Linked DNA regions of Notamacropus eugenii. The protein of the gene in region 1 interacts with the protein of each later gene in a pairwise test. Links are inferred from orthologs where the notes say so. Each region holds a gene or a part of one and is shown in the gene's direction. Other genes may lie near its edges. The genes, in order: USHBP1, SEC14L4, CCHCR1 and CCDC33.

What was found.
Region 2: the proteins of USHBP1 (region 1) and SEC14L4 interact in binary tests that used the Homo sapiens proteins (3 or more experiments, as listed by UniProt). The two-hybrid records come from large-scale screens. The link is inferred for Notamacropus eugenii from reciprocal best matches to the Homo sapiens genes USHBP1 and SEC14L4.
Region 3: the proteins of USHBP1 (region 1) and CCHCR1 interact in binary tests that used the Homo sapiens proteins (3 or more experiments, as listed by UniProt). The link is inferred for Notamacropus eugenii from reciprocal best matches to the Homo sapiens genes USHBP1 and CCHCR1.
Region 4: the proteins of USHBP1 (region 1) and CCDC33 interact in a two-hybrid assay, tested with the Homo sapiens proteins (2 studies listed by BioGRID and IntAct). The two-hybrid records come from large-scale screens. The link is inferred for Notamacropus eugenii from reciprocal best matches to the Homo sapiens genes USHBP1 and CCDC33.

The regions. Positions count from the first base shown.
Region 1 is NC_092875.1:60,746,880-60,754,601, reverse strand, and holds the start of USHBP1 (harmonin-binding protein USHBP1), read left to right. Parts: upstream 1-4,658; 5' UTR 4,659-4,670; coding exon 4,671-4,724; exon of another isoform or gene 4,725-5,047; coding exon 5,048-5,217; exon of another isoform or gene 5,218-6,360; intron 6,361-7,722.
Region 2 is NC_092875.1:14,838,608-14,846,418, forward strand, and holds the start of SEC14L4 (SEC14-like protein 4), read left to right. Parts: upstream 1-4,708; 5' UTR 4,709-4,765; coding exon 4,766-4,819; intron 4,820-7,521; coding exon 7,522-7,597; intron 7,598-7,811. UniProt on the Homo sapiens protein: Probable hydrophobic ligand-binding protein; may play a role in the transport of hydrophobic ligands like tocopherol, squalene and phospholipids.
Region 3 is NC_092873.1:85,013,089-85,020,935, reverse strand, and holds the start of CCHCR1 (coiled-coil alpha-helical rod protein 1), read left to right. Parts: upstream 1-4,769; 5' UTR 4,770-4,794; coding exon of another isoform or gene 4,795-4,797; 5' UTR 4,798-4,866; coding exon 4,867-5,001; exon of another isoform or gene 5,002-5,129; intron 5,130-5,537; coding exon 5,538-5,604; intron 5,605-5,696; coding exon 5,697-5,913; intron 5,914-7,076; coding exon 7,077-7,380; intron 7,381-7,847. Other genes in the region: TCF19 (transcription factor 19), read right to left, coding at 360-924, 2,794-3,031. UniProt on the Homo sapiens protein: May be a regulator of keratinocyte proliferation or differentiation.
Region 4 is NC_092872.1:242,198,979-242,206,204, reverse strand, and holds the start of CCDC33 (coiled-coil domain-containing protein 33), read left to right. Parts: upstream 1-4,186; 5' UTR 4,187-4,669; coding exon 4,670-4,690; intron 4,691-7,226.

The DNA.
Region 1 (7,722 bases):
GCTGTAAGAAATGATAAGCAGAGACTTCAGAACAACCTGGAAAGACTTATATGAACTGAGGCTGAGTGAAGTGAGCAGAACCAGGAAAACATCATACTAAGTAAAAGCCACATTGTGCGATGACTGACTGATAGACTTAGCTCTTCTCAGCAATGCAGGGATTGAAGACAACTCCAAAAGACTCACTATGGAAAGTGCTAGTCATGTCCAGAGAAAGAACCTTGGAGTCTGAATGCAGATGGAGGTAGACTATTTGCTCTCCTTTTCTTTTGTTGTTTCATTTTGTTTCTTCTTTCTCATGATTTTTCCCATTAGTTCTAATTCTTCTTTACATCATGACTAATGTGAAAATATGTTTAATATGAATGTATAAGTAGAGCCTATATCAGATTCATGCTGTTTTGGTGAGGGGGGAGGAGAGGCAGAGGGAGAAAATTAAAAACTCAAAATCTATGGAAGTAAATGTTGAAAACTAAAAATAAATTAATTATCTTTAAAAAAAAAAAAAAAGGAAAGGTGCTACAATATGTTCTACAATTTTTTCTGGAACTGAGTAAAGCTCAGTGGCCCATTGGAAATCAGGACATTTGCCTTTCTCCAATCCTATAAGACTGATCCCTTCTTTTCTCCCAGAACTTTTAGTGATCACTGACAGTGGCTCAGCAATCATATCCGCCAACCCTGTTCTAGAATGTCATCAGTAGAGACAGGATATAGTCCATTCACATCTGGCTTCTTGAACTCATTTCTCTCAGGGATCTTGCCTTTCAATAATCCACTTACTATTTTGTTCTATCATTCCTAGCCTCCCCATTTCCATTCTCCTAGTTCTCTCCCCATTCATGCTTCCCAAATTTTTTTCCCATTCTGATTCTTCCAGTTTTTTCTGATTCTCATTTCTTCATCCTTACCACTCACTCCCCTTAGATCTGCCCCATCTTACTCTTCAGTTCTAACAACCTTACTTCCCTCCCTGTTTCTCATCCCCTCAAGTCTCTCCCTCACCCCCTATTCTCCTCCCTCATTTCCTTCCTTCCTTGCTTTTGGTCCTAGGGTGTGTAGGGAACACATGCCCTTGGGGAGGAAACTACACAATAGGGACCCACGTGACAGGGGGGAGGTGGTATCCTACTTCCCTGAGTCCAGCCCCCAGTCTTTCCGGCACTGGCTTGACCAGCTGTTGACAGTGATGGTCCTATTAGTAGGACTGGTGGCCTGGGCTTTCACTCTGTCAGTAACAGGGAGCCCTGGGGGAGTCCTGGTCTCCTGAAGCTTTCCTTCTCTTGATGACCCCACTGTGAGCCAGAGGTACCCATTACACCTGGGAGGGTCTGGGGGTCCTGCCTTAGCAGTGGGGGTGGTGATCTCCCTGTCCTAGCTTTACTCTTGGCTTTGGGTATCTGGATCCCCACAGGCTTTGTTAAGAAAAGGGAACAAGGGTGATGAGGGACTGTGTCAGGCCCTTGGTATGAGTCTGATAAATGCAGGCAGGAGGGTATCAGTGAGCTAGGATCCAGTATTTTCATCCACTGCAACTCTGGTAACTCCCGGGGTAATGAGGCTGGATAGAATGGGAGCTCTGAAGTCCCAACTCACTCACCCTTCCTAGAAGGATAAGTATCTTCCAGTCAGATGTATACTGGGGCTCATGCTGGCTGGGTCTGGTTTTGGAATCTCTTCTCAGCTTCTAAAAGCTCTCTTTCCCTTCTGACTCTGGGCTCAGCCCCAGAACTTCCAATGGAAGGTTTTTCAAAGCTTTGATATTTACCATCTGTGTGACCTTGGGCAAATCACTTCCCTAATCTGATTCTTAGTTTCTTCATCTGCTAAAGGAAGGGCTTGGTCTAGGTAGTGGTTCCCATCCTTTTCAGGCATGAAAAGCAGTGGCATTACTGGCATCCATTATGCAAGATGAATTTGTATTTTATTAATCATTATGTATATTTTAATAAGTGATATGTGTATATATAAGCAAAAGTATTTGTTTAGCCTGCAGAAGATAAATTGTTTGCTCATTTGTTACACTGAGACAGTCCTTCCATGACATGGAGCTTTTGCATTAACTCTGAGATTGACAGGAGTCTGCAGCCTGCAGATCAAGAACCACTGGGCCAGGAGATACTGATGATATCTCCATGAACGGTCAACCTGTGGCACTAGAAGGGACCTTAAAAAGAGGTCATGTAGTACACATTGTTTTACAGATAAGAAAACTGAGGCCCAGACAGGGAAAGTTACTTGCATCAGGTCACAGAGAGAATCAGTGGCCAAGTTAACTTTAGCCATTCCTAACTCAAGATAAAGATCTCCTCAAAGGACCATCTGAGCTATCAAAACCTAGCATTTATGTATGCCCAGTCCAGAGCCAGGCATCCTGTGAGGTATGGGAAAAGACAGGGGAAAGGAAAGAACTAGCTCTGCCCTTGGGGAGCTTGTTGTAGTCAGGCTGGGGAGATGAAACTCCCATGGGATGTTTTGAGAATCATGTAGAAGAATATGTCTCCTCCTCTATCTCTGCCTGCCAATATCCTGCCCTTCCTTCTTGTCTCAGTTCCAAAGTGATCTTCTCCAGGAAGTCTTCCCTGTTCCACCCCACCCCTATCAGAAGTGATCTCTCTCTCCTCTGAGACCCTATCTAACTGTCTTGTGGTCTTGCCTTGTATTTCTGGGCATAGAAGAAAAAAGCTATTTTCCCAGCTAGACAGTAAGTTCTTAGCCCTGTCTCTCCCATAGTCCCAAGTAAATGTATGTTGAAAAATGGGAGGAAGGAATGCTGCTAAATGTTAGGTAGAGGAGGAGACAAGGAGAGAACTTGGAATTCTTGGCTAAGGAGTTTAACTGTTTGTTCCATGGGTGATAGGGAGCCACAGAAAATGAGAGGAAGGGCATGACCAAAGCTGAATTTTAGGAAGATTCAACGTTTAAATTTAATAAGCATTTAAATGGCATTTATGAGATACAATGAGCCGGGTACTGGGGATACAAAGACAAAAAGGGACCATTCTGCACTCAAAGAGTTTGCTTTTTTGTGGGATTCAGTATGTGCACAGACAAGTTTAAAGAAAGATGATTTAAGAAGGAAGAGAATACTAGCAAATGGTTGGACTGGGGAAAGTTTTCTGGAAGAGGATGAAATGAAATAAAAGCCTTTATTAAGCATTTACTATGTACCAAGCACTATGCTAAGTGTTAAGAGACTGGAGGGGGAGAAGCTAGAAGCAGGCAGGGGGACTAGCTGGAGACTGATTGGTATAGGAGGACTTTGGAAAGAGAAGCACATCTGCTGAATTCTGGAACTGGGAAAGCAGACAGTGACGAGGGAAGCAATACACCCTTATCAGCAGTCAGAAATGCAGGTAGGTGAGGCATGGGGTTGCATGGGGCAGGTAGCGATCAGATGTGAGGATGAGCAAAAGATTCCCAATTTGGATAGAAAGGGAGGTTGTTAGAGCAGGGATTCTTTTTTTAATTAATTAATTTTTGGTTTTCAATATTCACTCTTATAAGATTATGAGTTCTAAATTTCCCCTCCTCTCTCCCCAAGATGGCACACAACCTAACATACGCCATACATGTACAATCATATCAAACGTATTTCTACATCAGCTGTGTTCTGAAAGAAGAATCAGAACAAAAAGGGAAAACCACGGGAAAGGGGAAAAAAGGAGAAAGTAGTCTGCTTTGATCTGCATTCAGACTCCATGGTTCTTTCTCTGGATGTGGATAGCATTTTCTATCATGGGACTTTTGGAGTTGTCTTAAATCACTGTTGTGGAGAAGAGGTAGGTCTATCAAGGTTGGTCATCAAACAATGTTGCTGTTCCTGCATATAGTGACATAGTTCTGTAGATTAGGGATTCTTAACCTTGGGCCCACGGACTCCCTAGGGGTCTGCAGATATATTCCTGGGAGACCATGCATTTACATATACATATATGTGTGTATATGTATATATGTATGTGTGTGTGTATATATATATACACACACACACATACATATATAGACAACTGTAAAAATACAGAGGATTACAAAGGAAACCAATTAAATTGCATTTTTATTTTATGCATTGAAAAACATTATTCTGAGAAGGTTTCACCATATGTTTCACCAGACTAACTTCCAAAGGGCTCCAGGACACAAATGGGTTAGAGTATCATCTATCAGAGTATTACATGTAAACTTCCTTCTAAGACCTCTGCCTGCCTTTTCCAGGGATTTCTTCTATATTTCTTGCTGGACCAGTGACTGATATCACATAACCTAAGCTCTCCCTAAGCTGACAAGTATGGTAAAGTAAGTAGCTGTACCAGGTAAGGAAGAGAGAAAGAGCTCTAGTCTGATTCTTTCACAATGTCTGGTTGGAAGACTCAATGTAAAGACTTGACTTGATGAGTGTAGCTGGGTAAGGAAAAAAGATGATGGGGAGGTGCCTTTGAGAGTTCAGACTAGGGAGACTGAGAGTATGGCAGTGCTGGTGACAGAAACGGAAATCAGGAAGATGAACTTGTTTGGGTGCGGATGAGACACTAAGAACTAAGGTCCAACAAAACAAAGGTAAAAGGTCACAGGGCCAAAGTCTTTGGGATTCATGGCTGGACAGAAATAGATTGGGGGGATGTCAGCGGGGCCCACCTTCTCTCTGTCCCCCACAGGTCAGCTCCAAACCAAAGATGAGCAGCCGAGCTAGCAGACCCCGGAGCCGGCGGGGGAGGGCACCACCCCCAGTGAGTGATGGCAATCCATGGACAGGCCGAGTGTGGCCACCTCTCCCTCTGTCAGGCAGGGTGGGGTTGGAAAGAATGGAAAGGCCCCTGGGTTACCTTAACTCTGGAGGCCTTTCCCCACCTCTCAAGCTTTAGTCTTGGGGCCTATTTGCCAATCTGAAACCCTCATCTTCCCAGAAAATTCTGAACCTTAAGTTCTGCCCAATGGAGGTATCCCCAGAATTCCTTGACCAGAGTGTCCCCTCCATGACCCACAATACTGACATAGGATGTTAGTCCACTGGGGCTCAGAACCCCGTGACCAAGGCTAAGGGTGCTTGCAGGGGGAGCTGGACCCTGTGGTGGAGAGCACTGAAGAGGCAGACACCATGGGAAGCAGCGTTGGACCAGAGCAGGCACCCAGACTGCCCAGGGAAGAGTCACTGGCAGAGCACCTGGTCATCACTGCAGAGCCCAGCAGCCAGAGTGACTGTCTACAGCTGGACAGACCCAGGTAGGACTGGGGCTGGGGGGCAAAGGGCAGAAAGGTATGACCCCCTGTCATGTCTTACTGCTCTGAGCTCTGACTTTACAGGGAGAAAGCTGGCTTATAGGCTTCCTAAAGTTTCTCCCAGCTCTGACTTCATGTACTCTGTTCCAATGTCCCTTTCCAGCTCTGCCATTTCATGTTCTGAGGGCTCTCCCTTCTCTGACACTGTGTTCTAACATCCCTCTCAGCTCTGACATTCCCTGTTCTAAGGGCCCTCCCAGTTCTGATATCCTGGGTTCTAAGGGTCCTCCCAGCCCTGATACTCTGGGTTCTAAGGGCCCTCCATCTCTGACAGTCTGTGTCCTAAGGTCCTTCCCAACTCTAACAGTCTGTGACTCAGGAAAGAATTTGACTCTTCTGGAATGATTTGTAGTTGTTGGATTTCTGCTTTTAAAGGACACATTATTGGTCATTTCTCTGGTTATGTAATCACAGAGTCTCAGCTTCTGAAGGACTTTTGAAGGTCAAAAGGTTTAACTTTTACCTGGTGCTGAGGAGCCCTTTGAACACAGAACCTCGTGTGAGACAACATAGCTAGCAGCGATTAAGCACGCGTGCGCACACGCACGCACACACACACTTGCACACACACAGACACAGACATACACACACAGCTACACACACACATACACACACAGACACAGACATACACATACACACACAGCTACAGACACACATACACACACAGACACAGACATACACATACACACACAGCTACACACACACATACACACACAGACACAGACATACACACACACACACACACACACACACACACACACACACATTGGGCCTTGGAAGAGACACTAGGTTTCAATAAGGAGCCCACAATACAGAAAGGGACAAGTGTCCTATAGGTAGTCGCAACAGGGAAAGGGGTGGTGATGGGACCTAGGATTTTATAGGTGAGGCAGCACCAGCTGAAGAACTTCCTGTACCATCACACGTGGGGAAACATCTTGGCCACGGGTCATCTTGAGGAGTTTCCTGGAGCATTGGGGAGTTCAGTGATTTTCATGGAATCCCAGAGCCAGGATGCAGAACGGAAAGGATTGTAACTCAGATCTCCATAGGCAGCTCACCGCTGTCCGCTATACCACAGGACCTCTAGACGGGCGATAAGCAAACACAAGTTTGTATAATTATGGTACCTGTATGTGCCCACATACACACGTATGTGTACCTACCTACATATATACATGTACCTACATATACATAAAATAGTTCTAATAGAGTATATTTACAGAATCTTAGAATATATAACATAGGAATATATAGAATAATGGGGCATAGACTAATATAGAATATGGAATCTTAAAATATAGCATCTTATATACAATATAAAAATACCTAGAATAATATAGACTAATAAAGCATTAATATAGAATTTTAAAATATAGGTATATGTATTTATAGCAACTTAGAATATACAATTGATATAAAATGAAAGGTAATCATTTGTTGTATTATAGTTATAAATGTATACACATATACTTATAGAATTTTAGAATATGTATATATATTCATAGGAACTTAGAATAGATATAATGGCTGTAATATAACACATAGGTCTATACATATACTTAAAGAATCTTAAATACATGCGATATAGAAACATAGAGAATGACAGACTATAGTCCAGAAGGGATTAATATAGAATCTTAGAATGCATACATGTGTATATATGTATATATATTTAATTGGATCTCTACATAGAGAGAGACAGATACACAAGAAGCACCAGAACATGGAGGAGAAAGGCTCTGCCTCTGAGCCAGAAGACAACCCCTCACACATATTAGCGGCATGACTCTAACCAAGTCACTCTCTAAATGCAGAGAGGGAGAAAGGGGGCTAACCTCTATTAACAGAAGGGAGTTTCTTCATGGAGGTATTCCCTACATCAGTGAAACCACAGATTCTCTCTCTCTCTCTTTCTCTCTCATCTCTTTCTTTCTCTCTCTGTCTCTGTCTCTTTTTAATCTCTCTCTCTTTCTGTCTCTGTCTGTCTCTTTCTTCCTTTGTATCTCTCTCTCTTTTCCTCTTTCTCACAGTCTCAGTCTCTCTCTTTCCTTTTCACTCCATTTCTGTCTCCCTCTCTATCTCTCTCTTCCTTTCTGTCTCTCCTTTTCTCTCATCTCTTTCTTTCTCTCTGTCTTTTTCTCTCTTTCTCTGTCTATTTCCCTTTCTCTTTCCATCTCTGTCTCTCTCTCACAAACATAAGAGCCTTGGAGAGTTATTTTTTTAAGTGCTATGTAAGGCCTATTGGGGAAAGCTCTTACCAAATGAGGGGCTGGGAGAGGGACAGCTGGGTACAAGAGAAAGAAATTTCCCAGGGGTGGTAGCATTTAAATTTGATTTTGAAGAATAACTAGGAGTCATCTGGTGGTGAGAGAGAGGGAAAACATTCTAGATGAGGGCAGAGTGAACCAAAGCACTGAGGTCAGGAAACACAATGCATGTCCAGGG
Region 2 (7,811 bases), about 46 Mb from region 1:
GGAAGGCCTCCACCCACAGAGGAGGCCTCCTTCCTGGGTCAGGGTTTACACATGGTAGGTGCAGCCTTAGGGTTTGGCAGTTCTCAGTAATGGCTCCTCTAAAAGGGGGATTAAAAGATTGGTTGGAACCAGGGTTATGTGACTGCCAAGGATATGGAGGATGTCTGAGGCTGTGACCAGGGTTGGGGAGGAGGGTATGACCTCCCTCTTTGCTGCCCTGACTCTGCTCCACTTGGGGGTTGGCTTAACTTTTGGGCATTCCAGTTTTGGAAGAAGTTGACCATCTAGAGAGAATCTAGAAGAGGGCAATGAGGGTGGGAAAGGGTCTTGACCCATTTCATGAGGAACCAGAGATATTCAATCTGGAGAGAAGACTCAGAGGGAATGAGAATGTTGTCCTCATGTCTTAGAAGAGGGATTAAACAGTCTCAGCCCCGCTGCTGCCTCTGCCACTGCCCAGAGACCACTGAACCCTGCTTCTGTCTGTCTACCGCAGCTGCTCACTCATGAACATTCAGTCATGGATAAAAATGAGCTGGTGCAGGAGGCCAAATTGACTGAGCACGCTGAGAGATATGATGACATGGCAGCCTGCATGAAGTCTGTAACTGAGCAAGGAGCTGAATCATCCGATGAGGAGAGGAATCTTCTCTCTGCTGCCTACAAAAATGTAAGGGCTCGAAGGTCATCTTGGAGGGTTGTTTCAAGTATTGAGCAAAAGACAGAAGGTGCTGAGAAAAAACAGCAGATGACCTGAGAATACAGAGAGAAAATTGAGACCAAACTAAGAGATATCTGCCATGATGTACTGTCTCTATTGGAAAAGTGTTTGATTCCTAATGCTTCATAAGCAGAAAGCAAAGTTTTCTATTTGAAAATGAAAGGAGAACACTGCCGATGTTTGGCTGAAGTTGCTGCTGCTGATGACAGGAAAGGAATAGGGATCAATCACAAGCCTATCAAGAAGCACCTGAAATCAGCAAAACGGAGAGGCAACTGAGGCATCCTGTGAGATTGGGTCTGGTGTTGAACCTTGTGTTCTACTACAAGATCCTGAACTCTCCACAGAAAGCCTGCTCCCTTGCAAAGACAGCTTTTGATGAAGCCATTGCTGAACTTGATACATTAAGTGAAGAATCATACAAAGACAGCACACTAATGATGCAATTCCTGTGAGACAAGTGGACGTTGTGGACTTCGGACACCCAAGGAGATGAAGCTGAAGCAGGAGAAGGAGGGGAGAATGAACCAGCCTTCCAACTTTTGTCTGCCTCATTCTAAAATTTACACAGTAGACCATTTGTCATCCATGCTGTCCGACAAGTAGTTTTTGTTTACGATTTATGACAGGTTTATGTTACTTCTATTTGGATTTCTATATTTCCCATGTGGTTTTTATGTTTAATATTAGGGGAGAAGAGCCAGTTAACATTTGGGGAGTTATCTGTTTTCATCTGAGGTGACCAATATGGGGATATGGAATTTTCATACACGTTTTACATGTTTGGCATATACATTGTGATTTCACACGGCCAGTGTTAAAACAGTTTCCATGTCTAAGCAAAGAAAACTGCCTACATATTGGTCTGTCATGGTGGGGGGATAAAGGGATAATTGGTTCCAGCCACAGGTGTAGTTATTGTGGGTACTTTAGGGTTGGAGCACTCATGGCTGTGGTAGAAAAGATGTCCCATAGATATTACATGTCATTCCCTGTGTATCTGTGGAATACACAATCTCAACATGAACACCTTTATGACTGCAGTTGCAAAAGTGTTCCTTAAGACAAAGTTTTAACCCAGTCCATTTACTCTGGAGAAGGGCAGAGACGGTTCACATCCCATTCTTTGGAAAGTTACCTGCTGTTTGCTTTCAGTATTTTTGCTACACTCATTTTATTTGTATTTACATGGTTTAGGCAACCTAAGGCCAAATGTACAAGTAAAGATGCAGTAAAAATGAATTGCTTGATATTCATAAAGTCACTATATCAAGCACAGCAGTAAAACAAAAAACCCACGTATTTAAAAAAAAATGAAGAGGGATTAGCTGTGTTTTGTATGTCCCCAACGCACAGAACTAGAACCACTGGGGGATGGTTTGCTGCTGTTCAGCAGTTTTTCAGTCATGTCTAGCTCTCCATGACCCCATCTGGGATTTTCTTGGCAGAGTGGCTAGAGTGGGTTGCCATTTTACAGATGAGGAAACTGTGGCAAACAGAGTTAAATGACTTGACCAGGGTCAAACAGCTAGTAAGTGTCTGAGGCTGGATTTGAACTCAGGAAGATGAGTCTTCCTAACTCCAGGTTCATCAAGCTTTCTACCCAGAAGAACTGAGCACCAGTGCAGTGGGCTGCCCTGGGACAGCTGCACCTCACTGGAGACCATTAAGTAAGGCTGATGTGAAGGCCATAGTACATCTGAATATGGTATACTAAATCTCTAGGAGTCAGTCTTTCCAACTCTGGCATTTGGTGATTCTCTGACCTGGAAGGGGCATTCGTGACCATCTATCCATAACCTTTATTTTACAGGGGGATCATCTGAGACCCCAGCTTTTCACTCCTTGCTACAGAATAGCTTTCCAATGCTCCACCATCTTGTGTGTTCCATGCACATCAAGATTTTTTGGGAGAAATACATCTCCTTGTGGAAGATTCTGACAATGACCTCAATCACCCTCCCACTGTTTATTTTGACCAGTATATCTGGGCTGAGACCTTGTTTGTAAGTCGGTCTCTCCAAATTTTGGGGTTTTTTTTTCCAATTTATGCCATCCCTCCCTCCCCTCAACCTGCCCTGGCAAGCAATGTGAGGTCAAATCTCACCTGTGCCATGAGCCTATGGTGGTGACATCTGGACCAGCTTCTCCTGGATGGCTCTTGATGCTGTCTCCAATCTGGGTCTGGGGATATTGCTTTCTCCTGGTTCTCCTTCTACCTAGACAGATAGACTTCTCCTTCTCAGGGGTCCTTTGCAAGATCACCTTTTTTGACAAGCCTCCGAAGTATGAGTGTGTGGCTCAGTCCTCCATCCTCTCCCCACTCTCCCTCTGGGCGATCTCACCACTGCCATTTAATCATCATCTCTCAGTAGATGATTCCCATGTCTACATAACCAGTCTGAGTCTCTCTCCTCAGCTCCTGGTCCATTATCTCCAATTGCTTGCTGGACATTTTGAATCAAATATCCTTTGAACACCCTGGACATCTTGACAGAGAGTTTCAAACTCAGTGCATCCAAACAAAGCTTGTCTTTCCCCAAACTGAGCCCTTTCCCTAAGCTCCCTGTTGTGTTGAAGGCAGCAGCACCCTACCAGTCACCCATACACAAGCTTGGCTCCCACTCTTGGCTCCTCCTCTCCCTCATCCCACACATCCAGACAATAGCTGAACTTTGTCATATTGGCCTCCATGACTGTGGTCTCCACTCTCACAACCACCGCCCTCTGCTCCTCCTGCTTGGCCTCCCTGCCTCAAGTCTTTCCATCCTCCATACCTCTGCCAAGGTGATTTTTCCCAAATACAGCATGGATCATGTTATTTCAGCTACTCATTCCAGTGACTTCCTCTGTTCCCTACATCACATACAAAACTCCCATATTTGGCAGCCACTGGTACAGGATGACCTCACTTCAAATTCAGGATCATGTATTTACTAGCTGTGTGACCCTGGGCAACTGTAAAATGGAGATAATAGCAACCACCTCCCACAGGCTTTGTAATGGATCAGATGAGACAACATTTGTAAAGTGCTTGGCATTTGTCTAGTAAATACTTGGCATCTTCCTTCTCTCACAACCATCCATGAGGAAGGTGCTCACCCAGGCACTCCCCACAGGTTCAGGACCCTATCTCAATAACAAGAGCAGCAGTTTATACCTCCAGAGTGCCCAACACTTTCTAAAGGGTTTTCTTCACAACTAACTGACAAGTAGACAGTTTTATGATAATCTCCCCATTTTACAGATGGGAAAATTATACCATCCATAGCTGTAATATGCTTGAACCCATTGGTGTCTTCTCCTGGGGATTCTTGGTCATGTCCTAGTTGGACTGGTGACTGTCGAGGGCCCTTCCAAGCCTGTAGTTCTGTGAAGGGACTTCAGTTCTTGGGACATTAGATTTAAAGTAGGACCAGACAGGTCACCTAGTTTAACCTTCTCATCTTAATCACTTTTAATTTACATTAAACTAACTGCTAGCTAACTTTATGTAGCACCTGAAAGTTTGCAAAGCACTTCCCATATGTTAACTCATTTCATTCTCACAATCCTGGGAGGTAAGTGCTAATAATATTCCCATTTTACAGATGAGGAAACTGAGGCTGGGAGAGCCTTAGTGACTTGCCCAGGACCACACAGATTATAGAAGTCAAGACTCCAGCGCAGATCTGTGTTCAGGACTCTTGTCTACTATAAATATGATAATAATAATTTTTGTCTTCGCTACGTTAAACCTCATTTGACGGATGAGGAAACTGAGGCTTCTGGGAGACCTCTGTGCCTTTTGATCTGAGGGGTAAATAGTTAGAAACCTTAGTCTGTACCCTGGCTGCCTCAAGAATTAGGTGGAGGCACTAAGGAGCTGGCAGGCACAAAGGTGGTTCAGCTGGCACCAGGAGGTGCCAGCTGAGGTTGGGCCAAGGGCTCCCTAGCTCCTCCCTGCCCCTCAGGCCACACCCCAAACCCAATTCTGCCCCACTTTCCATCCAGAGAAAAGGCTGTCCTAGTGACACAGCAGAGAGACTTCTCCCTGTGAGCACCATGAGTGGCAGGGTTGGGGACCTGAGCCCTCAGCAGGAGGAGGCGCTGGCCCAGGTGAGCCTGTCCCCCATCCTTCCCCTTCCCACTATCCTCACGCCCCCCCCTCTAAGGCTCCAGCCCCATCCCTTCTCCACCTCCCTGCCTCCAGCTTAGACAGGGCAGAGAGTCCTAAAGCTAGGGACAGAGGAGTTGGGTGGGAATTCTGCCTTTGCTTCTGGGAAGCTGGGTGACCAGAGGAAGCCCCTGCCCCTCTCTGACCTCAGTTTCTCCCTCCATTCAAAATGGGGGATGGTCTACAAGTGCTCTAGGGCCCCTCCCAGCTAGAATTCCATGCTCCTGCCCTCCCCCTCTGTTTGTAGCCTCACACACCCAGAAGGGACCTCTGAATCCACTTAGTTTTCTACTTAGGAAACTGAGGCCCAGGGAGATTAAATAACTTGCTCAAAGTCCCTTGGGCAGTGTCAGGGCAGTCCTCTGACTTCAGAACCACTGCCTTCTCTGTGGGCCCTCTCATACTGCCTCATAATCCTGGGCCTGGGGGCTCATGAAGAGCTGGGGCAGAGAGGCTGGGCTGGCTGTGGGACTCTTCTCCCCAGGGAGTGGGGAGGCCATGGGGCAATATATCCTCTCATATCAGGACCTGGGCAGGGCAGCTCCTGCCCCATCCAAAACAATAGTTGGGGAGGGGCCTCAGGGGAGAAGGAGGAGTTTGGACTCCCTGGGCCTCCTGCTCTCAATCTAGTCTCCAGAAAACTTTCCTGGGGGTCCCCCCACACCCAGCCCCCCCTGGCATGGATGCCACTGGGGTTCAGAGGCTGCTCAACTCTTGTGGTCCCAGAACCAAACGAAAGTTCATCCCAATGACTTTGCTTTTAATCAGTGCTCTCCTCGGACACCTCACCATGGCTCCAAGGATGGCTTAAGGGCCCCAAATCCCTGCTGCTGGAGCCCACTTCTGAGAGGTCCCATAGAGTTTGGAAGGCTGGGGGCATAGCCCCAAGGCCCAGCACAGATGCTCAGCATGGTCCCACAGCAGGTGGCGCCTGGGTCCAGGTTCGAGCTCAGCTCTCCTGACTCCATGATCAGGGCTCCTCCCATTCTCCTGCTGTTTATAGAGGCCAGGCCACAGGAGACTCCCCAAAGGCCTCATGGACCTTTCCCCACTTAGCTCTTTCTTCAATTCCTTCATTCAGCTCCATTCATTCATCTCTTCTTGGGCTCCTGTTCATCACCTCTCTAATAGATATGACCTAGGGGAGAGAACTCTGGGATTTGGGGACAAAGGGTCATGATGCCCATCCCTGCTCAGCTGCATGTTGGCTGTGTTGGCCGTCTGACCTGGAGGAAGCCAGCTGCCCTTGCTCCTCCTGCTCCCTCAGAGGGCCTGCTTTCAGGGCCTTGGTTTCTGGTCTATTACATGGTAGCTCTGAGGCATTGATTATCTAGGAAAGATGTCATTAGTGATGAACTTCCCTATTAAGTTGACAAGGGATGGAGAGGGGAGTGGGAGACTGAGACCCAAGCTTGGTCGAGCTCCTCAGGTGTTCCTCAATTTCCTGGCTTAGCCCTTGGCTCTGGAGACCAGGGGAATGGTCCAGGTGGATCCCAATGAGCCTACTGACTAAGCCTCAGTGTGACCCATCTGGGTGGGAAGGAGAGAATCCCTCTATAGGGATCCCTTGGTGTCATGTGTCCTAGCCTATTTTTAAACCAATTAACATACATGAAGGTGTAGAGAACCAGATGCTGGCTGGGCATGGAGCCCAAAGAGCAAGTTTTAAGCCTCACCTTTACCACTAACTAGCTGAGTGGTCCTGGGCAAGTCACAGAATTGTAGAGTTAGGGGGGGACCAGGGACCTCCACAAGAATCCCCTCTAGACACCAATCAGCCAATCAACCAGCAGCCTTTATTAAACGTCTCTGTGCTTAATCACTGTGTTTGGTGCTGGGGATACACAGCCAGAAATGACCTCATCCCTGCTCTCAAGTCAGGCCCAGCAGAGGGTGTGCACAACCTAGACTCAGGAACATGGGAGTTCAGATTCTGCCTCAGACACTTCTTAGCTGTGTGGCCCTGGGAAGGTCACTTACCCTCTGTTTGCCTCATTTGACTCATATGTAAAATGAAGGGTCTCAACTTGATGTTGTTTGTAAGGTCCCTTCCAGCTTTAAATCTGGGCCATGACTATGGCTTATATTCTTTTAAGGGGAGATAGATAGATAGATAGACAGATAGATAGATAGATAGATAGATAGATAGATAGATAGATAGATAGAGGTATATGCACACATATAGACATATACACACATTTATATATATATATATATACATATATATACAAACATACATACACCACACACACACACGCACACACACACACACAGACACACACACACACTCACAGTGTCATCCAAGTGGTTACTCAGTGCTAGCTTGAAGGCACTGAGTCAAAATCAGCCTCTTTGAACCTTCCCCTAATCTCCTTATCCGGCCTTCTGGGGCTGAGCCAAATCAAACTCATGAAATCCCTCTCCCCTGTGGCAGAATCATGTGAAGACAACTATCATTCTCCCCTTCCCTCTCCCTACTTCTCCAATCTTCCCTCCTCTGGGTGCAATACACCCACTTCCTTCACTGATCTTATGACCCTTTGCCATTGAGTTGAATTGAGGTGAGTTGACTAATGGTGCCAAGGCAGGAATGCAGGCCCCATGGATCAGGGCCAGTGATCTTGACCCCGTTGCTTCTCCACAGTTCCGAAAAAATGTCCAGGATGTGCTGTCCAACCTGCCCAACCCTGATGACTATTTCCTTCTTCGCTGGCTCAGAGGTGAAGGGGGTGAGGAGGAGGGGTTGGAGACATAACCTGGCTAGAGGTAGGGTAGAGGTGGGCTAATGATGATAAGACCTAAATTATTCCCTACTCCCCTACCTCCCAGGGGACTTGTGCAACAAGTGCCTTCTGAATATTAAAATACAGCCAAAATGGGGGTTGTTGTGATTGTTTTCAAGATGGAAATGATCTCCTTTGATCCTCACAACTA
Region 3 (7,847 bases), on another chromosome or scaffold:
TTACCTGAGTGAGTTATGAGGTAGAAGCTCTGTAAATTTTAAAGTACTATATACTTTTCTTTCTTTCCCATGTCCACCATTCCTCTCTTCCTCCCTGCTTTTGTTCTTATCACCCCTCCAGTTTTTTTCTCATAGTCCCTGCCAACCTCCTGTTTCTTCTTCTGTCTCTGTCTCCTAAGACAGAAGATATTGGACAATCTGTAGTGTTGAATGGTGAATATGGCTTATCTGGGCTGGAGATTTTCCAGAGCCTTCTCTCCCCTTCCTCTCTTGGGAGCACTCCCTCTGTCTTCCTGAGCCAGAAAAAACTCCTCACAGCTCAATGTTACCTCTGAGGTTAGGCCGGTCCCCCCACTTACCCACTGGGAGTGACTGGAATCTTCATTCCTCGAGGCTTCTTTCTGGTTTCGGCCTGAACTCTGGGAGGGCTCTCCTCAGTTCCCCCCTCATCCTCTAGCTCAGCCAGCACCTTGTGTGCTGACTTCCGACGGTTCCGAGGGGCTGGAGGTGGAGTGGGAAGGGTGGCCCCTGCCTCCCTAAAGGTCACTGGAAAGGTCAGGCCCTGACCTTCACCCCCAACCCTGGAGAATGTAAGGGGCTGAGGCTGGAGTTTGCTGAGGCTGCCAATGGAGCTGAGGATCAGGGTGGCCTTAGGAGCAGGGGAGAGAGTGCTGAGAGGACGCTGTGGGGCCCCCAGAGGGGGCAGCATGGGCCAAAAACCACCTTCACCTCCTGATTCTCCCTCAGCTCTGGGGACAGTGATAGCAGCAAAGTCTTGGGGTCGGACTCTGACACGCTGGAACATGAAGTAGAACTCAGGAGGGCTGGCTCCCACAGGCCCCTTAGGGCCAAAGGTTAGGAAATCACCGTCACTCAGTTCCAGTTGGTGACCCCTGGGGAGCCTGACATTGTTGACCAAGGTACCTGTAAGTAGGAGAGTGGAACAGAGAGAGAGGGAAAGAGAGGGAGAGAGATAGAAGGAAAAACAGATGAAGAGAAGAAAGGCAGAGAAAGGAAGGCAAGACAAAGATAACAGTCAAAAAGTCATGTAGGATAGCCAATTTCCTAAGGTGAATCATCCTCTCCTCCCATTTCAGCTTCACTCAGATCATAACCTCAAGCATTTTGACAACAGGGACTGTTTTGTAAACTGTTAAAACTAAAAGGGGCTTTAATCATTCTTTTAGTGCAGGGAAAGGGACCAGCCCAGAGTTCCATAACACACAAAGTAAGAAACAAGCTGGAATTTGAATCAGGACCTTGATTCTATAAATGATGAGTTCACAGGCATAACTAGGCATTCTCTCTAGTTTCCTATCCTGCCTGGCTCCAGGTAAACTGAAGGGATTGGCTCCCCCAATCATCTCAGCTCACTGCTCCTGGGGGTTTCCTAACAAAGTTAGCACAGAATGGAAAGAGTTAGTAATTCTTCCCCTGTCCTTTTAAAATCATATTCTGTAAAGACTCAGTCTTCACTGACAATAAGAAACCAATGGGGCTAGTTAGACACCCAGACCTGTTCCAAACAGGGACAATCTTAGTTTTGGGATTCCCCCCTCCCACCAATAGGGACCTTAGGGCTTCCCTGAGGCTTCTGAGACACAGAAGAAACCTCCTATTTCTTTTGGGTCAAACATTAAAAAATCTTCTGGATCAAAAGGAACCTTTCCTGAAATCTATTGACAGCTAGATGACTCAGTGGATAGGTTGGGAGTTAGAAAGATCTAAATTAAAATCTGGTCTCTTAAACTGTGTGACCCTGGGCAGATCACTTAATCTGTTTGCCTAAATCCACTGTAGAAGGAAATGGCTATTGCAAGGGCCAAGAAAACCCCTGGATAAAAGTCCAGAGGGCATGAAACGTCAGACAGCTAAACGGTTGAACAACATGGTCAGGCCAAAGTAACAAAGAAAAATACTAAAGCCTTGGGAACCTGGACTAATAGTGAGCAGCAGAGGGAGTGTACCTTGGAGATGTGATCTTAAAAAGTCCCTATATTTATTTAATTTCATTGCCAACTCCTGGAAAACCTGTGCCAGAGCTTCCCTGCCTTTTCTCTTCTCTTCTAGAACTGAACCCCACTCACCCCCTTTTTTCTTGCTCCGCAATAAAATTGTTATCTTGTGTACAGTTCCCTTGGGACCTGTTTTATACTTTCCAAGGTGAGCAAGCTTGCTGATCTGCTAAAACACAGGCAGTGTGTATGGAGTGTGAAAGAGTGAGCTCTAGTAACCTTTTGACGATTACTAACTATGTGACCTTGGGCAAAGCATAGTTAGTACCCAGTTTCTTTATTTGTATCCCCTTACCTAGTAAGCAGTCCCTGTAACAAAGATTATAATATTTACCCTACACTTCACAGGATTGCTGGTAGGAAAATGACCAATAAACCTTAAAGTGCTATAGAAACATGAATTGTCACTTAATCTGAATCTCAGAAAACTATAAAATGGGGAAACCTCACACAATTGTTTTAAAGATCAAGTGACATGGGATAAATGCAACAATTCTGTAATAAAATATAAATATGGAACTAATCTCATAACTCAACCATGGAATTAATCTGCTCTGAAAGGCTTTCATCCATATACACACATATCACATATAGCACATCACCCTAACAGACAGCAGGTACCTTTTGGAGACAACTTAAGTCTTTTGATCTTTGCTGTCTAATCTAGAGGAGGAATCTGAGTGGCAATGACAATTGGGTCCTAGGGTACTTCTCAAATCATACCATACCTATTTATACCTATCTGCCTAAAAAGAGAGCCAGCCACGTCCAGGCTCACCGTAGCTACTGCAGTCCTCCAGGCTGACTCTCCAGTCGTCACCTTGGCTTTCAGCATGCAGCTTGGCATGGACCGGGGAGATGAGGACAGGCTCACACTGGGGCCGAAGGGCCACATCACACAGGTCAGCTCTGAGGCCCAAGTGGTAGGTACAGCCAGCCCCAGTGGGAGGGTGAAAAGTATAGAGATCTCCACCCTTCCCAACCCCCATGCGAAGCAGCTGGAAGCAGGGCAACATGGGGGGAGGGGCTTTCCCCTATGGACTCCCTTCTAAAGTCAGGGAATACATAGCTCTTTCTACCCTTGGGTAATTAAAAATGGAGAGATGTTCAGATGCAAACTTGGAGTACAATTCTTGTGCAATTCGGTTCAGTACAACGAAAATTTGGAAGGTATTCAGCTCGCAAACCGAGGGGGACAACTTGGCCTTGAAAGAAAAAAATTAAGGTGTCATCCCCGGTGCAATGCAAAACTAGGGAAGATGTATCAGGCTAAATTAAGGACCGGCTCGTAACCCGTGAAACTAACTAACACCCGGAGTATTGGATACTATTGTATACTCAGTTGGTACAATGTAACAGTAGGGATCGTAATGAGGCCGGTTTCCACCACTGTTTAATAATAACTTAGTTATTCGGTGCAATTGGGGGCGAGGGGGCCCTTTCTTTCAAAAGGACTTTTCCAGAGGTCCTCCCCCCGCAACTTTCCTGGCTCAACACCTCACTCTTGTCAGGGGGCTTAAGAACCTTTCAAGGTGATAAGACTGCAACCCCGGAAATGCGGGCTGAGGATCCCTATTTCTGGAGTAAAGCGAAGCAAGATCCCTTACCTCCCTCCCCTCTGGAGTGCAATGCAAACCTGGGGTCCTACTGCTTCCGAAGCAATGCAAACGCGGGTCCCCCCAGCCCGGGCAGCCTAATTTCGGATCAATCAGTGCCGGACAATCTCAGCGTGCCGTGCCCCTCCCTCAGGCAATACAAACCTCGACCGAGGAGGCTAGGACCCCAGTCCCCCCTCCACAGGACCCCCACCCCACCCTGTCCCCCGCGCGCACGCTCGGGCTGAAGTTTGACAGGGCTAGCAAAAGCAGAGGGCTCAGGCAGAAGCCGGGCCCGGAGCGGAGCTGGGCGGAGCCTCCGAGGACAGGCGAGCGTCCAACACCTTCGCAAACTCCCCGGGCCCGAATTCCGCGCGCCTCAGATACCCCGCCCCCTCCCGATGCCATTTCCCCATTGGACAGTCCTCATTCCATCGCCCAGACCCCATTGGGCGGTAGTCAGGAAAGGCACAAAAAGGACCCGGCGCGACCGCTTTCTTCGCTTCCCGATTGGCCATTGAATTTTCCCGGGTTTCAGGGAAAGGAGGAGGAGCTCGGTGGGGAGGAGGGATCTGTAAGGGCGCGGGGATAGGCCGAGTCCCTGGATTGGTTCACCATATGGACGCCACGGCGCTTGCGTGTCTCGATTCGTCCTCCCTCCCTCCCCATTCCGAATGAAGTACGCGGGTCCCGGAGCCCGCCGGCTGGCCCGCTCTGCGCAAGCGCGGTCAGTCTGTGGAGGGCGGGGTACTTTGTGGCGGAGGTGGGGCAACAAGGGGAGGGTGGGGTCTCGCGCTGGGTAAGGGGGCACGAGAGTGAGTCAGTTGAGGGCGGGAAGGGGTGGAGGGGGGCAAGGGAACGTGGGCACTAGGGAGCTGAGGGGGACAGGGGCAGGGCAAAGGAAGTGCTGGAGGTCTGGGGCCGTGGGGCGAGGGGGCACCGAGAGACGAGGAACGGGGCGAGGAGGGACACGAAGGGCCCGGGGAAGAGGGAGCAGGAGCTAGGGGAGGCTTGGGGGAAGCGGGGGCGCTGAGGGGCGGCCAGAGAGCTGCAATTGTGACGGGACCCGGGCCGAGCAAATTAGAGGGAGGGAGGGGGGAGCGTAGGACGGGGAACAAAGTGGGTGAGAGAGGGGGCGGGGCACGGGGGTGCAGGAGAGGCGGGGAGGAGGGCGGCTGGAGTGGATGGTAAGCGCCATAGAGAGAGAAAGTGAGAGCATCAGGGTGGGATGAAAGACAAACTAACAGGGGCTAGAGATGAGCAGAAGGCCCCACATGGGCAAAGGACTGTTAGACTTCCTGCTCACCCAGGAAGATGGTTCCGAAAATTGCTTTGCTGTTAATGGTAACTCGAGATCTCTGCATCTTACAGACTTCGTCTGGTGCCAAGCAGTATGCTGACTCTTTGATGGGGAGTGGGAAATCAGTGTTGGGAATAATGGTGGGGGGGAGGGGATTAACCCCCGGGGCCACCCTGAGCAAACCATCCAGTGGAGCTGCTTCCCTAGCCCTTTAATTCCGTACGTGCTCACTCACCTTCAGATCACAGAATAAGAAAAGTAGAGCCCAAAGGGGAGAGAAAGGCGCTACCCAAGTCCTATGAATGCCATGTAGACCTTCAGGGGTCTGGAGGCCTTAATCCTAGATCCTGCTTCCCTTAGAAAATTATTTTTTATCGTGGGTTTTGTGTTATGGAGTCTCTTATCAAAGCTAGGTGGGAGCCAGCCACTGATTATTTCATAGATGTTCCAGTTTGTCACTTTCAAAAATGAGGGTGATAGGGATGGGGAGGGGAAGGAAAGAAATGATAACTGGATAGATGTTAAATTACCTAAGGAATTGGCAAGGTTATCATAGGATCTTTCCCAGGGATTGGTTGGAACCTTGGAAAATGAATTGGAGCTTGAGGTGTTTCTCTTGCTCCACAGGAAAAAATGGATGGCTGGAGAAAGAACCTGGAACCCCCATCCACTTTTGGGATGTTCCAGTCTTCAGGTAAAAGGGATAGGGATGGATTATGGAATTGGAGATTGCATACCCTATTTCTATACCTTCAATATTGACCTTTCTGTCCTCTGCTTACTCAGGTCTCACTGGGCTCATGCCTCCATCTCATTTCCAAACACGGCCCCTTCCAAGCATGTCCAGGACCACTTCTGTCCAGTCCCCACCCTTACCCATAGTCCTGCCTTCACCCCATCACGGCTATGATAACAATGATCGTAGATGGGAGCATCATAGACTACAAATTTTGAGAGAACAAGATGGGGCAGGTGATAGTGAGGATCCCAAAAGAAGGACCAGGTAGGGATCTAGTTATTCTAGCTTCTGCCTGTAATTGTTCTTCACTTCTGTGTTAATTATTTTTAAAAGTTTAATTGATGGATTTTTCTTTTATTTTCCATTAATTTCCATATATACCCTTCTCTCCTATCTTACCCCACAAGCCTTCCCTTGTAAGAAAGATAGAAAACAAACAGTTCTGATTTTTTAAAATTCTGTGTACCTTCTGCTTTTGTGTATGAAATTTGAACTGTATTATTTGATCTTTTGTATTTTTTCTTGTCTCACGTGTATATCCTGACTCTTCTAAATTTAATGTCTTAATAAAATTATTGATTTTAGAGTGGAGTTACAGGCAGGTCTATCTTAGATCCTGTCCGCTACTGTTTTTGCTCCTGAATTACCAAAGGACTTTGTTATAAGGCAGCCATGGATTCTGAAATAACATTGTGATGATATTAGAGCTGTTTCTCAAGGACTGGGATCATGTCTTTTATTTTTATTGCCTCCTCTCAGAAGGTTTAGGAGAATTTATACCGTAAATGCTCAATAAATTATTAACCAGCCCCTATTCTTGTCACATTAGAACAAGAGGATCCATTGCCTTCTCTGCCCCTACCTCAGGTTGGAGTTCAGGCTCCTCATTCTCTCAAACCAGAGCACAGAAGACTGAGTATCCCTTCCTTTTCCACCTCAAGCCGAACTCTTAGATTCATAATGTCTTCATCTACTTGTGAATCAGATATCCTAGCACTCATTGTACCATTCATGAGGTACACTTAATTGATGCAACTATGCAATAGATGCAACTGTTATCTTTTTACGTATGTGAATGCCTTCCCTCAACTAGGATAAGGCCCGTTAAGTACACTTAAAGGTATAGATTATGGTACATACCTTTTTGTATCCCCAGCATCTAGCTTAGTATCCTACACATAAAAAGTGCTAAGTAAATGTTTAAGGAGTAGATCACAGAATCCTTACTGTTTCCAGGTTTTGCATCCTCTTGTGTGTCTGACTGACTTCCAGTTTCCCCCGAGGCACCCTTTTCACTTCCTTATCCTTACATATCAGATCAGAGAAGTCCTCATAACTACCTAGATGGAAACAGAGCGGCCCTCTTGTCCATCCCTTTCTTGTGTAAGACCAAAGAGGCCATATCTCACCTATAACTTTCCCCAAAGGTCCCTGGACTATGTAGGGCCACAAGGCTTGAATTCCCGAACTGAAATGATCTCTCAACAACTGGAAGAGATTCGGAGACTTGAGATTGAGAGCCAGGCTTTGCGGTTGGCTTCAGTCCATCAGAAGGCTCATCTGGCAAGCCAGGGTGAGGAGCTGGAAGTCTTAGGACAGGCAAAACAGGCAATGCGGGTTGAGGTGGAGGAGCTTCGTGCTGCTTTGGCTGGGGCAGAGCTCATTCGGAAGAAATTGGAAGAAGGAAACAGACAAGAGCTTGAAGAGACTCAGAGGGTGCACAAGGAACAGGTGAATGAGAATAAGAAAATACTAGGTGTTAGTTGGGATTTGTCTCAGTTCCACATGGTAGGGAATTAATCTGAGATAATCACTTTAGCAAAGATCCTTTGATATTCAATTAGAATAGTAATCTGCTTGGCCAGGAAGATGTTGAGAATTGAGAGTAAAGCAGAACCTGAAGGAAGCAGGCTGGGGCTGTTAGGATAGGGTTCTCTCCATTCATCCTCCTTGTTCTCTTTCCCCACTTCTCAGAATTCAGATATCCTGCTTCTCTCCCAAAACTTTCATTTACTTCTTAGTACTCAAATATTCTACCTATTTTCCTTTTGGAACTCATGTTAAAATGGACCCCAAACACTATCTGCCTAGAATATTGCTGTAGTCTCCTAACATGTCTTCTTCCATCACTATTCCCTCCCTCTCCATTCCAATGTATCCTTCACATTGTCGCCCTCCTAATATTCTTTGTCAGATGT
Region 4 (7,226 bases), on another chromosome or scaffold:
GTCCATAAAAGTCTTCCTAGATTTTCCTGAAACCATCTCTTCATTTCTCACAGCACAATCGTACTCCATCACATTCAAATACTGTAACTTGTTCAGTCATTCCGGAGTTGAAGAGCATTCCCTCAGTTTCTAATTTTTTGCTGTCACAGAAAGAGCTGCTATAAATGTTTTTGCATGTTTGGTTCTTTTTCTTCTTTCTTTAATCTTTTCGAGGTATGGAATGAGTAGCAGAATTGCTGAATCAAAGGGTATGCAACATTAACATATGTAGCAACATTTGGAGCAGAGTTCCAAATTTGGGCCTATGTAAGACACAGTGCCTAGTATATGGTAAGCGCTTAATAGAGCTTGTTGACTAACTGACCTGTGGAGCAACTACCAGACAACTGAAGGGAGTTTATAATCAATTGATGGAGTTATGGTCAACAAGGGCTGTAAGAGGTCAGAGAAAGGTGGGGTCAGTGTAGCCTAGAGAGGTGAGAGAAGCACTCCTGGAGAGTCAGGACATGAACTTGGCCTCACAGGATAAGCAGGATTCAGAGCAGATAAAGGTGCATCCTAGATCATGGAATCATTCCAAGACTCCAAGAGGACTCATGTAGATAGTGAGGAGACTGACCTGGTGAAAATGGAACATTTATATTGGTGAGTAGCTATGGTTGGACCTCAGTTTTACAATCAATAAAATAGAAAGAATTTCATCTACCTATTTTTTTAGTTAGGCTATGGGTATCAAATGAAAAAATTTAGGGAAGAGAGGGACCTTAGAGACCATCTAACCCAACCCCTTCATTTCTCTGATGAGGTCACAAGGTCATATAAACAACAAACAAGCAAGCCAGGATTTGAATTCAATCCTTCTACACCAAGTCCAGGACTCTTGTCATTATATGACACTCTAAGTCTTTGAAATAAACTCATGGATGGGAAATGATGGGAGGGATAAATTACTAAAGTAAAAGCTCTCTAGCAGCCCCTATATTTATGTTGTCCAGGTAACCCAGTCCTATTCTTCTGTTCAATATTAGTTTCTATTGTCCCCATTTTCCCTGTAGATCCTGAGAACACAGGAGTAGTGCAAAGCTGGCAGATGATTGGATCAGAGAGGTACAGGAAGACTGGCTGCTCCCAAATATCTTCTTTACCAACTGCCTTCTGTTCCTGGAGAGGGGCGGGAAGAGGGAGAGGAGAGGATATTTTATGTTTGTTTATAAATTCTATTTTATTTTATTTTCAGTTCCAAATGTGTTTCTTTCCCTCCTCCTCCCCCACCATTGAGAACAAGACAGAAGCATCTACCATTCTTTGACCTCTGAGTTTTAAATTTAAAATAAGCAAATATTACATGGGGTAGAAAAATATATAGTTATTATCAGTCCTTAACAACTTGGCTGGACTTAGTTCATCAGATTAACCAAAGCTAAAAGCTAAGCCCTGTATCCTTGGAACACAATCTGAAAAGGTTTAGGAGAAGAATGGAATGGGAGAGATGAGAGGGAGAATGAGGAGAAAGGAAGAAGGAAAAAGTCTTGGGGTCCAGTCAGGAGTGGGCCTGGGGAAGTTGAGGGGTAGCAGCAGGCAGATACTGGAGCCATCAGGTTAAAAGGAAAAATGGAATGGAAAGTGGAAAGCAAATCACCTATTTCCTGGTTCCCAGTAGGGCAACTCTTGTTCCCATTGATCCATGGACCAGGGAAACTTTGCTGAGAAATTCCTCTCTGCTTATTGATACTGAGTAGAGAAGGAAGGAAGGGAAAGGGTAAGGGATTAAGTAGGACTCGCAAAACCAGAGAACAGTGTCTGAGCAGAAGGCAGATCCTTGTCTCCTTGATTAACAGCATCAGTCTGGTCCCCCTCAGACTGTTAAAAGCCCTGCTGGTGGGAACATAGCTCTCTGCTGGATAAGCAACTGGACCTTTGACTTTCCTAATGGGCCAGCCCTGTGACCCCAAAGAAGAGAAGGTGTAGGCAGAGTTAGCCTTTAGAAGCTAGCCATTCTTCCCTGAGTAGTCTGGACATAACATCTGGATGTTGTCGCTGTTTGTCCTTCATTCTCAGAGGACCATGACACCAGGAAAGTGATGCTGTGACTTGCAAATGAATTGGATTTAAGTGACAAGGGCTGTGCACCAGCTTCACTTTCTCCTCCACAGACTTCTAGGTCCAGTGGTCAGATATAAATCAGATAGCCCCCATCAGGATGGGGAAGAGAGTCATTGGAAGGTCTCATCCTTCTGAGGAAATATCAACAAACATAGAATCATGGGCCGAATCAGCACGATTTGCCTATAGGGAATGAGTGAGAGTGGGGAGTTCAAGAGCACTCCAAGGTTGGTGTGGATCTCACCCTTGTTACTGGAAGATTATTAGCACCACCTCAGAAGAAAATAGGAATCTAAGAGGAAAGGGAAAGTGGTGGGGAGTGGGAGTGGGAGGGGGGCAATATATTTTGTACTTCTCGAGTTTGAAGTACCTATAGGACATCTAGGGGCACATATCCAGCAAGGAGTTGGAGATGCTGGACCGCAGCATTTAAAGCTCTTCCTGAGCTGCCTCCTCCTTTTCCAGACTTCTTACACCTTATTCCCTTACTTCCCCATCCCTTCACTTTGTCTGAGATCCAATGACACTGATCTCCTGTCTATTCCTCAGACTGGCCACCCCCCCCACCCCATACCTGGAACATACTCTCTCTGTATCTCTATCTTCTAGACTCCCTGAATTCTTTTGATGCTCAGTTGAAGTCCTATGTTCTACAAGAACTTAATATTAATCTTAATGTCTATCAAGAAAAATCTTCCTGAGCTCACATCCAGCCTCAGATGCTTACTAGTTGGGTGATCCTGGGAGAGTCACTTCATCCTGTTTGCCTCAGTTTCCTCATCTGTAAAACGAGCTGGAGAAGGAAATGGCAGACTGCTCAGTATCTTGGTCAAGAAAATCCCAAATGGGGTCATGGAGAGTCAGACATGACTAAAATGATTGAACATGCACAATTCCCTTTGAGGTTACCCCCAGTTTCTATCTTATTTGTACCTAACTTATTGGCTTGTCTCCTCCATTAGGCTGTGAGCTACATGAGAACAGTCATTTTTTTAACCTTTCTTTGTATCCTCAGTGCTTAGCAGAATGCCTGGCATATTGTGAGCACTTAATAAACTCTAATCGACTAAATGAAATTCAAGAAAATGATGAGAGCTTACTTTGTAGATATTAGAGGCATCTGCGTAGAAGGAAAGAGAAAGGAACCTACTATGTGCCAAGCACTCTACAAACATTATCTCATGACCCTCACAATAACCCTAGGAGGTGGGGGCTATTATTACTCCCATTTTATAGATGAGGAAACTGAGGCAGACAGAGGTGAGGTGACTTGCCTACAGTCACACAACTATGAAGTGTTTGAGGCAGGATTTGGACTCAGGTCTTTCTGACTCCAGGCCTGGTGCTCTATCCACTAGGCCACTAGCTGATGGTTGAGTCCATGGGGCCTAAGGAAGTCACCAATGGAAACTATAGAAAGGAGAAAAGTGAACCCTGATGTTCCTGTTCACCTGGGGGCTGGGCCATGGATGATGAGCCTGTGGGGGAGATTGAGGGGATTGGTCAGATAGGTAAGAAGGAGGGTCATAAAAACCTAGGGAGGAGAGAGGGGCCCAAAAGCATCAAATGCTCCAGAGAAGTGAGAAATCAAAATAAGTCAGACATATGCATTGATTTTGCTTCCCCAGCCCAAATATAAACTTCCGAAGGGCCAGGAGACATCAGTCTTCTTATTAATTCTCCAACATCACTAGCAAGTGGTCACCCCAATTCTCCTTAAAGATCTTGGTAACAGGGAACTCACTACTTCCTAAGGAAAAGCAGCTCCTCTTTTGGTCAGTGATAATTGGAAGAAAGTTCTTCCTTCTATTAAGCTGATCTCTGCTCCCCTGTCCTCTCTTCCCATATTCCCATCTCCCTCAATTTCTATCCTTTGCTTCCAATTCTGCCTTGGGCAAAGCAGAGTAACTCTGATCCTTCTTTCATATAACTACCTTCAAGAGTGAACTCATCTGTACAAATAAGGGGGCTTGAATGGAGGACTACCAACTCTAGGACTCTAACATCAAATATTAACAACTTACAAGTCTATGAGTGGGTGGTTTCCCTGTGCTCTCATTTACCTCTGACATCACATAGCATCACTATGGCAACAGAACCAACCCCCAACCCCTCAGGGGAGGGAAGAGTAGGTTCCCCAGATCTCCGTGAGAGCAGGGAGACAGTGTCACCCCTTGTCATTCATGGGGGGACGTAAAGACTAAGGATGCTTGGCTACTGACCCTGCCATACCCCCCCCCATTGACTGCCATGTCTGTGGCCCCTGATGGCATTGCCAGACCTGGAATGCCCCTACACTAAGGAAGACATCCAGCCACAGTTCTGCCACGTCCACCGCTGTCTCTGGCCACCAGAGCCCAGTGGACCACACAGCCTCTAGCTATTGCTCAAACCTACCTCAGGGGATGTCCGTGCCTGTGTCATTGCTCCACAGACTTGGAGACATCTGTGCCAATTCCCAGGTGGAGTGGGACTGATTCTAGTTGACCCAGAAGTGCCAGACATTAGCACGCAAGATTATTAATTGAGCAGGAATCCAACAAGAAAGCTTCTACTCTGAAAGAGAATGGGATGGAGCAAGAAAAGGGTAAGCCTATTATCCATTAGTTCTGTGAGTTTCAGTTTTTCACTTCCCCACTATAAGCCTCAGTTTTCTTATCTGTAAAATGGAAGAGACAACAGATAACTGTACCCATCTGGTTCTAATATCCTACCAATCCAATGTGTGCCTAATACAATAGGGTGGTCTAACTTTCAAGTAGCAAAATCATAGGGCCAGAAAAGTATCTAGAGAATTTCCCCAACTCCCTTTTCTAGCCTAGGATTGAAGAACTCAGGCAACAAATAAGTCTTTACTGAGCACTTCCTATGTGCCAGGCACTATGTGAAATGCTGGGAATATACATACAAGCAAAAAGTAAGACAATCCTTGTTCTGGAGGACCTTACATTTTTTTAAATTTAAATTTTCAGTTCCAAATTCTCTTCCTCTCCACCCCTCCCCCACTCATTGAGAAGGTAAGATATACAACACTCATTATACATATAAAGTCATGCAAAGTAATTTCACATTAGACATGTTGCAAAAAAGAAAAAAAGCAAGAAAAATAAATTAAGAAAAAATATGCTTCCATCTGAACTCTGAGACCATCATTCCTCTGTCTGGAGATGGATGGCATTTTTCATAATGAATCCTTTTAAATTGTTGTGGATTATTTTATTGATCAGAGTAGCTAAGTCTTTCACAGTGAATTATTGTCACAATATTGCTGTTACTATGGGCACTGTTTTCCTGGTTCTGCTTACTTCCCTTTGTATCAGTTTATGTAAGTCTTCTCAGATATTTTCTGAAACCATTTCCTTCATCATTTCTTACAGCACAATAGTATTCCATCACAATCACATACCACAACTTGTTCATTCATTCTCTGAGCATCCTCTCACCTTCCAGTTCTTTGCCACTACAAAAAGAGCTGCTATAAATATTTTTGTGCATGTGGGTCTTTTTCCTTTTTTCTTAGATCTTTTTGGGATACAGACCTAATAGCTGCTTCAAAGGATTTTATAGATCTCTATAGATCCCAAATTGTTCTCCAGAATGGCTGGATCAGTTCACAACTCCACCAAGAGTATATTAGTGTCTCTGTTTTTCCACCTCCTTCCAGCATCTGTCATACGCCTTTGCTGTCAAAATTAGCCAATCTGATAGGTGTGACATAGTACCTCAGAGTTGTTTTAATATGCCTTTCTCTAATTGTTAGCGATTTAGAGGATTTTTTCAGAAGACTATAGATAGTTTTGATTTCTTCTTCTGAAAACTGCTTGTTCATATCCTTTGATCATTTATCAATTGGAGAATGGTTTCTTGTTTTTATAAATTTGACTCAGCTCCCTATATATTTGAGAAATTAGACCTTTATCAGAGAAATTTGCTGTTAACAAATTTCTTCCCAGTCTCTTGCTTTCAGTGTCTACATTGGTTTTATTTGTGCAAAACTTTTTTATTTAATATAAACAAAATTATCCATTTTATCTCCTTTGATCCTCTCTGTCTCTTTTTTGGTCATGAATTCTTTCCTTATCATAGCTATAACAGGTAATTTTTTTGTATTCCTCTTATTTGCTTATGGTATCAACCATTATGTCCAAATCATGTCCCCATTTTGAGTTTATCTTCATATATAGAGTGAGATGTTGGTCTATGCCTATTTCTGTCATTCTGCTTTCCAGTTTTCCCAGCAGTTTTTGTCAAAGTGAGTTCTTGCTCTAATGGCTGGGATCTTTGTGTATATCAAACACTAGATTATTATGGTTGTTTATTTTTGTATATTATGGACCTAATTTATTCCATCAATCAGCCACTCTATTTTTTTCTTAGTACCAGATTGTTTTGATGATAATCACTTTGTAGTACAGTTTGAGAGCTAGTATTGCTAGGCTCCCTTCCTTCATTTTTTCATTGATTCTCTTGATATCCTGAAACTTTTGCGCCTCCAGATGAATTTTGTTATTTTTTCTAGCTCTTTACAATAATTCTTTGATAGTTTGATTGGCATGATATTGAATAAGCAAATTAATTTAGGTAACTGTCATTTTTATAGTACTGCTCAGGCTACCCACAAACAATTAATATTTCTTCAATTATTTGGATTTGTCTTTATCCGTATGAAGAATGTTTTGTAATTGTGTTCATATGAGTTCCTATGTGTGTCTTGGCAGGTATATTCCCAAGTGTTTTCTACTGTCTACAGCTAATTTTAAATGGAATTTCTCTTTTTATCTCTTCCTGTTGGGTTTTATTGACATTATGCAACTCTACCTCACTTAAATCCAGTTTGTGCACTGGTCAAGACATCACCCCATGGTGTCATTGGTCTTCTTTGAAAGCAAAGGACCAGCAACAGATAGATACTACTTATCATTTTTTAAAAAAAGCTCCATTTATTCCTATGCTTTCTGTTGTTTTTAATGGGAATGGAGGTTGCATTTTGTCAAAAGCTTTTCTTACATCTATTGACATATGATTTTTTTGTTGTTTTTATTATTAATATGGTCAATTATGCTTATAATTTTCTCAATACTAAACTTTTCTGGGAGTTTACATTCTAAAAGACAACATACAAA